Linked DNA regions of Xenopus tropicalis. Each later gene encodes a partner of the first gene's protein in a complex. Links are inferred from orthologs where the notes say so. Each region holds a gene or a part of one and is shown on either strand. Other genes may lie near its edges.

Evidence for each region.
Region 2: ccdc151 (region 1) and efcab1 share a complex: the UniProt entries of both Homo sapiens proteins name them as parts of the outer dynein arm-docking complex. The link is inferred for Xenopus tropicalis from reciprocal best matches to the Homo sapiens genes ODAD3 and CLXN.

What each region holds. Positions count from the first base shown.
Region 1 is NC_030679.2:139,194,248-139,199,381, forward strand, and holds part of ccdc151 (coiled-coil domain-containing protein 151), read right to left. Parts: coding exon 5,075-5,134; intron 4,135-5,074; coding exon 3,955-4,134; intron 3,620-3,954; coding exon 3,584-3,619; intron 3,417-3,583; coding exon 3,312-3,416; intron 2,804-3,311; coding exon 2,678-2,803; intron 2,273-2,677; coding exon 2,150-2,272; intron 1,443-2,149; coding exon 1,299-1,442; intron 1,109-1,298; coding exon 948-1,108; intron 214-947; coding exon 57-213; intron 1-56. UniProt on the Homo sapiens protein: Component of the outer dynein arm-docking complex (ODA-DC) that mediates outer dynein arms (ODA) binding onto the doublet microtubule. Involved in mediating assembly of both ODAs and their axonemal docking complex onto ciliary microtubules.
Region 2 is NC_030682.2:51,306,487-51,311,720, reverse strand, and holds the start of efcab1 (EF-hand calcium-binding domain-containing protein 1), read right to left. Parts: upstream 2,836-5,234; 5' UTR 2,633-2,835; coding exon of another isoform or gene 2,612-2,632; coding exon 2,554-2,611; intron 661-2,553; coding exon 505-660; intron 424-504; coding exon 319-423; intron 1-318. UniProt on the Homo sapiens protein: Component of the outer dynein arm-docking complex (ODA-DC) that mediates outer dynein arms (ODA) binding onto the doublet microtubule. Seems to regulate the assembly of both ODAs and their axonemal docking complex onto ciliary microtubules.

The DNA of each region.
Region 1 (5,134 bases):
ATGGCAGCCAATCAGCACTGAATACATTTCCTGTATTGCATCAACCTAGTACTCACCACCTTGATGTGCTTGACTTTGCTTGCTAGATGTTCCACTCCAGCTTTGGTCTCATTCAGAATTTTGGACATTTGTTCTAGTTCCTCTTTGGTTTTCTCACACCTTTTCTCTTCTTTCTGGAGGTGACTCTGCAGCTCTTCCAGATCCTGCTGCCCTCTATTATGGAACAAAGTAAATGATGAGAGATATTATGTGGCTCTAGGCATTACAGTTAGGGTGAAGACACACGGAGCTAATTAGTAGCAGCTACTTGTCACGGCTACTAAATGCTGGAAAATCCCCTGCCATAGACAATACTGAGAATTGCCTCTGCTAAAACACACAAAGAGACAATTATCAGTAAATTATCAGCATTGTCTTTTTTTGTAGCCTTGACAAGTAGCTGCTACTGGTAGCTCTGTGTGTCTTCACCCTTAAGGTGGCCATACACATAGGCCTTATATTAACAACAGACCCCAGTCAGCCACTCCAGACCAATTCAGCAGCCATACACGTAGCAATAACGATCGTTCCTACCCTCCACTGACGTTCAGGGCTGAATTGTCAGATATGGAGGTAAAAACAATAGAAATTCTACCTCCACCTGCCAATTCAGTCCTGAAAATTTTGCTTGGGCGCCTTCAATGGTGCAATCTGGGCAATCACAGGGGTGGGCATATTGGGAACAGGTCCGCTCCATTGGTGACCTTGTGCTCTTTACATGTATGGCCAGCACATATGGCTAAATATAGAACATAGTTCCCTCTGTTCAGGATGATGGCCCAAACAAGCATTAAGTGAGATGGTTCTACAGCTCTGCTAGCAAACCTTTCTGCAGATGCAATGATGTGACTGAGGATTTCCATGACCACATAAGACCACTCTCAGTGGTCACAAGGAAACATATATACCTGGACAATTTGGCTTCCCCAGAGTACTTCTGGTTACGGAATTCCTCCTCCAGTTTCTCCTTCTGCTCTTTCAGCCTCACCAGTGTCCTTTCATTCTCAATCTTTAGTTCCTCCAAGTGTTTGCTAGTTTCTCCCTGGGCTATGAAGCGCCTCACAATCTCCTGCAGGGTTATAGGGGGAACATGGGGTGAAACCTCGGTAGTGCTGCAAGACACGTGTCCCAACCAGGCATTCAGCCTCCAGGGCACTCTATTGTATGTCACATGGCTAATGTCCCAGGATTGCTTTGATCTCAATGAGAAACGTGAGAGCACTGTGGTATATACCACGTATTACTGACAGCCCCCTCACCTGAGTATCTGTCACGCCAGTGGCTTCCTTTATCCTCTGAAAGGCTTCCTGGAAGGTGCGTATCACCTTTTCTTCATCTTCTCCACTTGGCGTCTGTTGAGTGTCCACTGTAGCATCGTCTCCAGGCAAGGCCACTCGCTGAGCCTATAAAAGCATCACAATTTCACATTTCATCAGAACAGCCAGGATCCAAAATGGATAACAGAGAGTAACATGATGACAGGGCCATGCCTATGGTCTCATTTATCAACAAGTGGAAAGGAGCAAAACCAAAACGTGCATGGCACTATGATTTCTGCCCACTATGCACAGTCACCTCCAAGTGGTGCTTAGAATAGTGCAAGAGTTGTGCTTTTCTCTCTCCCTGATAAATTTCACATGGAAAAGAGTTGGGTGTTCCTGGCATGTCCTACCTTGACATTATTCAGCATGCACCAAGCAGCATTGCTGGGGGTGGGGGCGAAAGGCACAAGAGAACCCTTTACTTAATGCCTCAACTTGAACCAATGTAGCAATAGTCAGCTGTCCTCCAGCCAAAAAGTCCCACAATGCTTTGTATGCTTCTTCACATTAATCAGTTGGCTTCTGCTACATTGTTTCAGGAGTCAGACAGATACTGCATTAATAGCAATCACATTTAGAAACTGGCGCTTGCCCTCAGAGTAGCACACAAGTGCCCACACTCCCACATGCCTTCCATGCTTAGTGCAACTTGCACCCAGATGAACAGTATTCACTAACCTGGGAGATTCTTTGTGTCTCTGGGTTTGGGCACAGAGATTGGCAGAGTCATTATGAGGGAGAGATATGGGGTAAAGCTCTTTGGGTGGGGTAGGGAATCAAAACCTTACCCTTCTTTCCACGCGCTCAGCATGAATACGTCTCTCTTCCGCTTGCTTTTTGTAATTCTGAAGGGTGCGCTCTCTTTCCCTTCTTTCTCTTGTAACTTCTTCTTCCTGCTGCTGAAGGTCAGTCTGTCAACCAGAAGGTAAAAGAGCATACCATAAATACCCAGCGCTCAATGCACACGAACTATAGTAACTATACTATATAGTAGGGATGCTTCGAATCATGGATTCGTTTTGGGATTTGGCCAAGATTTTGCCTTTTTCAGCAGGATTCCGCCGAATCCATGCTCCTGGCCAAACCAAACCCGAATTCTAAAAAGCATCTGATTTTTTTGTCACGTAAACATGGAAGTTTTTGCCGCACAACCTTTAACCCTTCCATGATCTAATTAGCATTCAGATTCAGTTCAATATTCGGCTGAATCTTTTACCAAGGATTCGGGGTTCGGCCGAATCCGAAAAAAGTGGATTTGGTGCATCCCTACTATATAGGGATATTTCTAGAAGTAAAGGACTCCCTGTCCCTCGTACCCGCGCCTCATCCCGTGCTTGCACAGCATCTCTGTTCATCTTCTGAAGCTCCTTCAGCTCACTTCTCTGCTTTATGATCTCAGCCTCTATGAGATCCAGCTGAGTCTGAAATGTCAGGCTTTCCTCCTGCAGAGATAGAAAGAGAGCATTGAGAGAAGGGACTCCTGTTCTGTGGAGCTTACACTCTAATACAGTGATCCCCAACCAGTGGCTCGAGGGCAACATGTTGCTCACCAACCCCTCTGATGTTGCTCCCAGTGGCATGAAAGCAGGTGCCTATTTTTGAATTTCTGACTTGAAGACAAGGTTTGGAGGCATAAAGACCATATATACTGTCCAGCAAAGCCTCCTGTAGGCTGCCAGTCATCACTGGGATACCAAATAACCAATCACAGCCCTTATTGATCATCCCCTAGGAATTTTTTTCCTGCTTGTGTTGCTCACAGGTAAAAAAGGTTGTGGACCCCTGCTCTAAAACATAGGGGGAAACAGATAAAATACAGTGTGAGGGGAATCCTATCCTATTCCATACACAAAGGCAGAACCATAGAGTGACAATGACTAAACCCAGTGACCAGAAGTGGAAAGAAGTGGCAGCATGAAGCAGTGGCCAAGCTCTAGAGACTCCTGTTACCTGCATGTGCTCTCTTAGCTTTTGATAGACGCTGAAAATGTGTTCTGCCTCCTGGTTCTTCAGCTGCGCCTTTTCCAGTCGGTTTTCCAAGAGACGCATGGCCTGCTGAACAAAGGGCAGGAGAGACTTACTGAGGGGAAACCATATAGCTGACTAGAGGTAAAGAGAAACCCAAAGCCTGTTAGAAAGCTAGCACCAGTTGATTCGGCAATCGAAAATCACAAATGGTTCTGCAAAGCAAAGGAGGTTCAGACAAAGATATAATAATTAACCTGTTCTGGTACTTCCTCTTTGTCTGCAGCTTCATCCTGTGGATGAAATAAGTAAACTGTGAACAAAATAATTTTCAGATGAAACCTGGAGTCTGTAGGCCTCATTTACTAACAGCAGCCATTGTGCAAAATGCAAAAAAGTTGCTGCAATCAGCCATGGTTTTAAGTTGGCACACTCATTGTTTTTCAGAATCCCAGCACCTTTGCATGGGTTAAAAGTTTCAAGCTATGCATCAGTACTACCTCCTGCTGTAAAGCGCAATGGCATCCATACAGCCCCCACATGGACCTGCCATAGTTGTATGTGTAAGCTATAGCACAAACTATATAAATAACTAGAATTAAATGAAAGCTTTGCTGCATCTATTCACCTGCTCATCCTGTGAGGGTCCCTCCTCTGCCACCATCTTGCCCTGCATTTCTAGTTCCCTCTGCTTGTACTCGGTCTGCAGCTCTTCCAAATGTTTCCTCTTCCTCTCTGCCTGGTGGTGCAGGGCATTCAGGCGCTTCATCTTATCACACAACTTCTGATCCATGAGCTCAATGGCAGCCTGAGCAATGGCAAAACATAAAATAACACATTAGGAAATGATACATGGAATAGTAGAACCACAATAGTCAAAAAGCCTTCTTGCTGGACATCCCTCCTTTTCAGAAGAACAGCAACCCCAGGGTCTATATCTGTTGCTGGTAATGTGAGGTAGGGACTGCTCATTAAAGCTTGCTCCAGAAACTGCCATAGGAAGTGATTTTCAAGTCATTGCATTGTGGGGCTAAAGGATGTTTTGCCCATTGTAGCTTTACCTGAAATAACTGAAGTGGTTAAATTCCTTAGTGCGTCAGATCACTAATGTAACACCAGATAATAAAATCGCATTCATGTATTTATCCATAACACTGGCAAAAAATATCTGCATCAGTAGAAACATTGGGTAACAGTTACCCTGTATCGTATTAGGGGTACCCATGGCACAAATAAACACTCACCCCAAATCCCCCCTAACTGGCCTTCAGGCTGGGCCCCCTTAGCTCATAACAAGGTTACAGATATATAGAAACATTGGGGTAACAGTCACCCTGCTATCGTTCCAGGGGTACCCAGGGCACAAATAAGCACTCACCCCAAATCCCCCCCTAACTGGCCTTCAGGCTGGGCCCCCTTAGCCCATAACAAGGTTACAGATATATAGAAACATTGGGGTAACAGTCACCCTGCTATAGTTCCAGGGGAACCCAGGGCACAAACAAGCACTCACCCCAAATATTACTGTTGGTCACTGTTACAAAAAAGATATAATATTCTAAGGTCTAAAGCTTTTAAGATGCCGGGAGTTGTAGTATAACAGCTGGAGCACTGCATAAGGAAATATCTGCATCTGACATGGAGTAAACCTTTAGTAAGCAGAATTTACATCACACAGGCCATTCAATTCAGCGTGTGCTGATGACTCTCCAGATTTCTTTGCTCGTTGCTCACTTACAATTACCCACCTGCCCACTCTTGTTTTTCATGGCGGCTTTTTCCGAAGCATGTCTCTGAAATGCCTCCTT
Region 2 (5,234 bases), on another chromosome or scaffold:
AGATCTCTAAATGGGAGATTTGTAATGGTATTTATTTTTTATATGTTTAAAACAGGACTGTCCCATTGGGGGCCCAATGAGTCACATGTGGCTCTCTGGCTTTTTACCCTCCAGCATGTCCAAGATCTCTGAAGCCGCCTTAATATGCCTCCATTGTTTATAATAATCTGTTCCGTAAATAAGAAAAATAGGAGATATATTTCCCACAGTGCTGCTGGTTACAAAGGTAAAATGCTGATAATACATTTTGATCAATACTGCAAATACTGTATCAATATATGAGCTTGTGTATCCATGTATCATATAAAAACTTCTTACATTTTATCCTTTCTTCTAGAGTCCCACGTAAAAATACGGACAGGCCTTCCACCCATTCTGTAACACTGATGTAGCTGTCATTATCTTTGTCAAATCCTCGAAACACTAGAAGATAAAGAAGTTAAGGCCATGTCAAAAGATTCAACAACTGATTCTTTGAAATTCACTCAGATAAAAGTCTCCCACCTCTGTCCATGATCATATCATCTGTCATGCCAAATGTATTGTGCAGGATATTTCTGAAAGTGTTTCGGTCAATGCCACGCCTTGTATTAGGATCAATGGGTCGTCCCACCAAAGTATGATAAAGGCGGATGAGGCTCTCCACTTCATTCTTACTAACTGCAAATTAAAGATATATAGTGTAATACTGAAACAAAATTTTAGTTGAGCAGATCATGTCAAAATTCAACCATACTTTGAATGCAATAGCCATGTTTTCCCACAATGTACTGCTTTTTCCAAGAATCCTGCAAGCCTAATGTGGGCTTTGAATTAGATGCAACTTCACATCATTTGCACTGTATCCGGCACAAATGCGCCCCAATTATCAAAATGGATGCAAATGCGTGTGTACTTTGCCACAGTTACGCCAATATATATTTGCAGACTGCCTGGCATCAGTTCTGATATTCAGCCTGTGAATGCTGTCTAAGCATTTCTTTAACCCCAAGTTTGCTGCATCTGTTGACTCAGGGCCCTGAAGGAACCCAGGAGCTAACACCTGGATGCAAGTACAGGTATGGGACCTATTATCCAGAATGCTTGGGACCTGAGGTTTTCTGGATAAGGGATCTTTCCATAATTTGTATCTCCATACCTTAAGTCTGCTAAAAATATCATTGAAATATTGAAGAAACCCAATAGAATCATTTTGCCTCCAATAAGGATTGCTTATATCATAGTTGGGATCGAGTAAAAGGTAGTGTTTTATTATTACAGGAAAAAAGGAAATCATTTTAAAAAATTAGAATTATTTGCTTATAACGGAGTCTATGGGAGACGGCCTTTCCCTAACTCGGAACTTTCAGCATAATGGGTTTACGGATAACGGATCCTGTACATTTAATGAATATTGTTTTACAGGCAACTTGCTGCAAGGACATTTGCAGAGCCCTGCAGCCATTCAAGTAGCAAAAAAGGTGTTGTGCAAAGTGCAAAACTAATGAAAGACTGCAGTGTTTTTTTTGCACTTTGCAAAACTGCCTTCCATTTAGTAAATGACCATATAGTTTTCCTAAGTAAACTAAAAAAAGAGCACAAAATGTTCAACATCATCTGGCATTTAATACATGAGGTGTGAAACTCAGATGGCACTGAAAACACACTGCACATTCCAGTGCATGCAAGATTTTCTGTGCATGTAACAAGTGCACTGTGGTATCACATCATGCATGCAAATGAACAAGGGCACCACTTAAAGGCAACCATTTCTGACCCTCTAGAAAAAGGTTTTGCTAAGAAAACCAGGACAAGCCAGAAACAGCAGCTGATCCAGAGTAGGCTCGACCACCTCCCCAGGGTGAAAGACAGCCGACCGATACACCTCCTATACACAACCCTGATCCACAATACCTCCCATAGTGCACATGTATTGCTTTGCCTAGTTTGAAAATGTATAAATCGATCTAAAACAACTTCTATCTTGTGTTTCCTACTGTTGTGCATTTTTTGTACATGAAAAAGTTAAAAAAAGAAAACCAGGACAAACTATAAGTCCCAGTATCATTGCACTATATTAGTGATGATGAATAAATATTTATGCCAAGGATGCCCATCTTATTTTCCTGCGACTGTTTCTGAACCACAGTTGCTTGCGATAATTAACCCAGGTCCTTTCCAGTCTGATGTAATGTACAGTGCTGGGTGTATGGAGGATTCCCCCAGGGCACAATATACATAAATCAGGGATGTCTAACCTGTAACTGTGGAGGAATCACAACTCTCAACACCCCAGCCAACAACTTTTAGTAAGGTTCTGGGAGCTGTAGTTCAACTACTATTGCTGGATTACTACAGGTTGGACATCTACCATGTATTTACTGTCTGAAAGTATCTTAACACCAGGTATAATAATAATATAATAGAAGACGCAGGCTGTAAGACTAGTAAGGGGGTTAGGGCCTAGGAGATATGGGGCCCATGATTGTCGATATATGTTGAAAAAAATGTTTTATTCTACACTCATGAAACAGGCTAAAGAGTGGGCATCTGTGGGTTTGGTCTCACACTTACAGTGCTTGATGAGTCGGCTCAGGGCGTCCGCCTGCTTCTGTAGGTTTTTTCTATTCATGGAAGACACTTGTTGGGACATTGCAATTGCTGGTTACTTTTTCCTCTCAACTCTGAGTGAAACTGTTCGGAGCTTGTATACACAATCACCATGGCAACAACAACAACCAATCAGCGGCACTTCCGGTTTGATCTCCGTGGCTCGGATCAGCTCTACATGACATGCATTATGCTCAGAAGTGTTTCACTTACATTTCATAAGCTGCGAGCGGTGCTTACAAACAGCCTTACAAGGGAAGGGGGGGGGGAGAATTGTGTGCAAACAATGGGCTGCTGCAGGGGTGGGTATACTTGGGGACTAGCTTTTACAAAGGTAATTGAAGTAGCAGAACACAGAGTGGGGGAAGAGCTAAATTGTGATTTTTCTCTGCAAAAGCAGCATTTCTCTTAAGAAACAAGCATAAAAAATGAGGAGAAATATAATGATGCTGTGGAATGTTAAAGAGGCACTGAAATCCCAGACAACGTTTTTTTCATACTCATTTGGGGAGGCTAAAGATGGCCCATACACAGACTGACCTAAAGTTAATGTGAGAATTTGTGGATTCACTGCTGGTGTGAGAATGAACCTCCCAACTACCTCTTGCAGTTCCCACTGACTTACAGGGATACAGTGCAAAAGTGCGGGTGGGAGGGCTTTTTTTTTACCCTAAAATGCTTAGGATGTAAAAGTATTCATCGTGTTGGAGGACCTTCGGCAAGATTTTTATCAGCGTATGCAGTTTAAATTTATGTTTCTATTTCTTCAGACAGTTTAAAAAAGGCAAGGGGGGAAAGGCTAGACCTAATATTAGAGATGTTTTGTGACTTATAAGGTACTTAAATATTTATGTGTTACTGTTCCTTTAAAGGGGTAGTTCACGTTTGACTTTTAATATATAATATATTTTTGTTCAGCAGCTCTCCATTTGGTAATTCAGCAGCTATCTAGTTGCTAGGGTCTTATTTACCCTAGGAACCAGGTAGTGGTTTATACAAGAGAATAGGGAATATGAATAGTTAAGGGGCCTGGATGGAAAAATAAGTAACAAAAAATTACAATAATAATTAAAATTGTAGCCTTGAAGAGCAATTATTTTTGGCTGCCGGGGTCAGTGATCCCCATTTGATAGCTGCAAAGAGGCAGAAGAGAAAGGCAAATTATTCAAGACCTATAAAAAAAAATTAATTAGGAAGACCTATTGCAAAGTTGCTAGGAATAGGCCATTCTATAACATACTAAAAGTTAACTTAAAAGTCAACCACCCCTTTAAGTTTGTTAGTTTTATAGAGAGGCAGTGGGTACTGACATCCCCGGCACATTTTATACAGTGAAATGCAGTGTGTATTTGCATAACCAGCACATTATATGCAGTGAGAAGCAGTGGGTACTGATGGCAGATATTCAGGCTCTCACACTATAACACTGGCACTGATACATGGCATTGGCTCCACTAACTAACTAGAAATGAACAAAACAATGACAAAAGTAAAAAAAAAAATAGTAAGTGCAAAAAACAACAAGTATACAAAAGCTCAATTAGCTTTTTTAGGGGGAAAGAGTTAACTTACCATCCATCTGTTAGGATAGGTGATAGGGATATTATAAATGTCAGGTCAGGCAAAAAACAATTTAATTTCAGCTAGTGATTCAGCCTTTAGAACTGTATAGGGAGTGGGAGTGGGATGAAATCTGCAGCAAAAGTTGAGAGTTGGTTCTCAGGTAAAGTTTACAGTCTGCAGATTCTTCTTTTCAGTCTTCATTTCTGCACTGCCTTCAGTTTATAATATCTTCCGAGCCCTGTCTGCAGCTGTACTTTGATTGGTCAATTTTACTGTCTGTCAAGAAAGCTGTGCTTTGATTGGAGAATCCACAAGAAGGAAGATCCAATCAGAGCACAGCAGAACCGGCTTGCAGGAACAGAAGATTTCCAGGGCAGTGCAGAAGCGGAGTGAGGTTTTTTTTTTGTTTTTTTAATGTGCCAAGCAGGTTTGAGGAGGCTTTGCCTCCCATAGCCTTAATGAAAATCCACCTATGCTCAGCCTGTGTTTTTCTGTCCTTGCGTTGGAATCAGCATTCTTGCTTTCTTGCACCCAAATCCATTGCATCAACCCAGGTGCAGGCACATGCAGTGGTTTTCAGTGTGTATAATCATAGGCTGAGAATCCACCATGTGTGGCACTAGCCTTAGAATTTCTCTGCCACAAATAGTTCAGATTTCCCATTCACCCCAACTCACAATTAGCCACACCATTTTCCTCCACCATCTCCTGCCATCACAAAAAGCAGTTTACTTTCGCAACCAGCCTTTTCAGTTTTTGCAAGTGCCATAGACAAATCAATTCAGAGTGCATTTGTAGCAGCGTTTATGCTTTCATCCAAGATGGTGCTACACTCCTCTCCCCCCCTTCCCAGCCACAAATCTACTTGCCCTAGGCTTCTTACTGTGGTACCCCTATTACCTCTGTTGCACAGGATTAGCACAGATCTGCAGACCTGTCCTGCCCATTCACACCTCCTGTGATGTTTCTTCCAGGAGAACCCTGTCACTTACACCCACTGCCACTCTGCTTGCTCCCACCTCTGCTCCGCTTCCTCCCATGCCTATCACATTATCCGCAGCTCTGTTAAGCTGCACTGACAG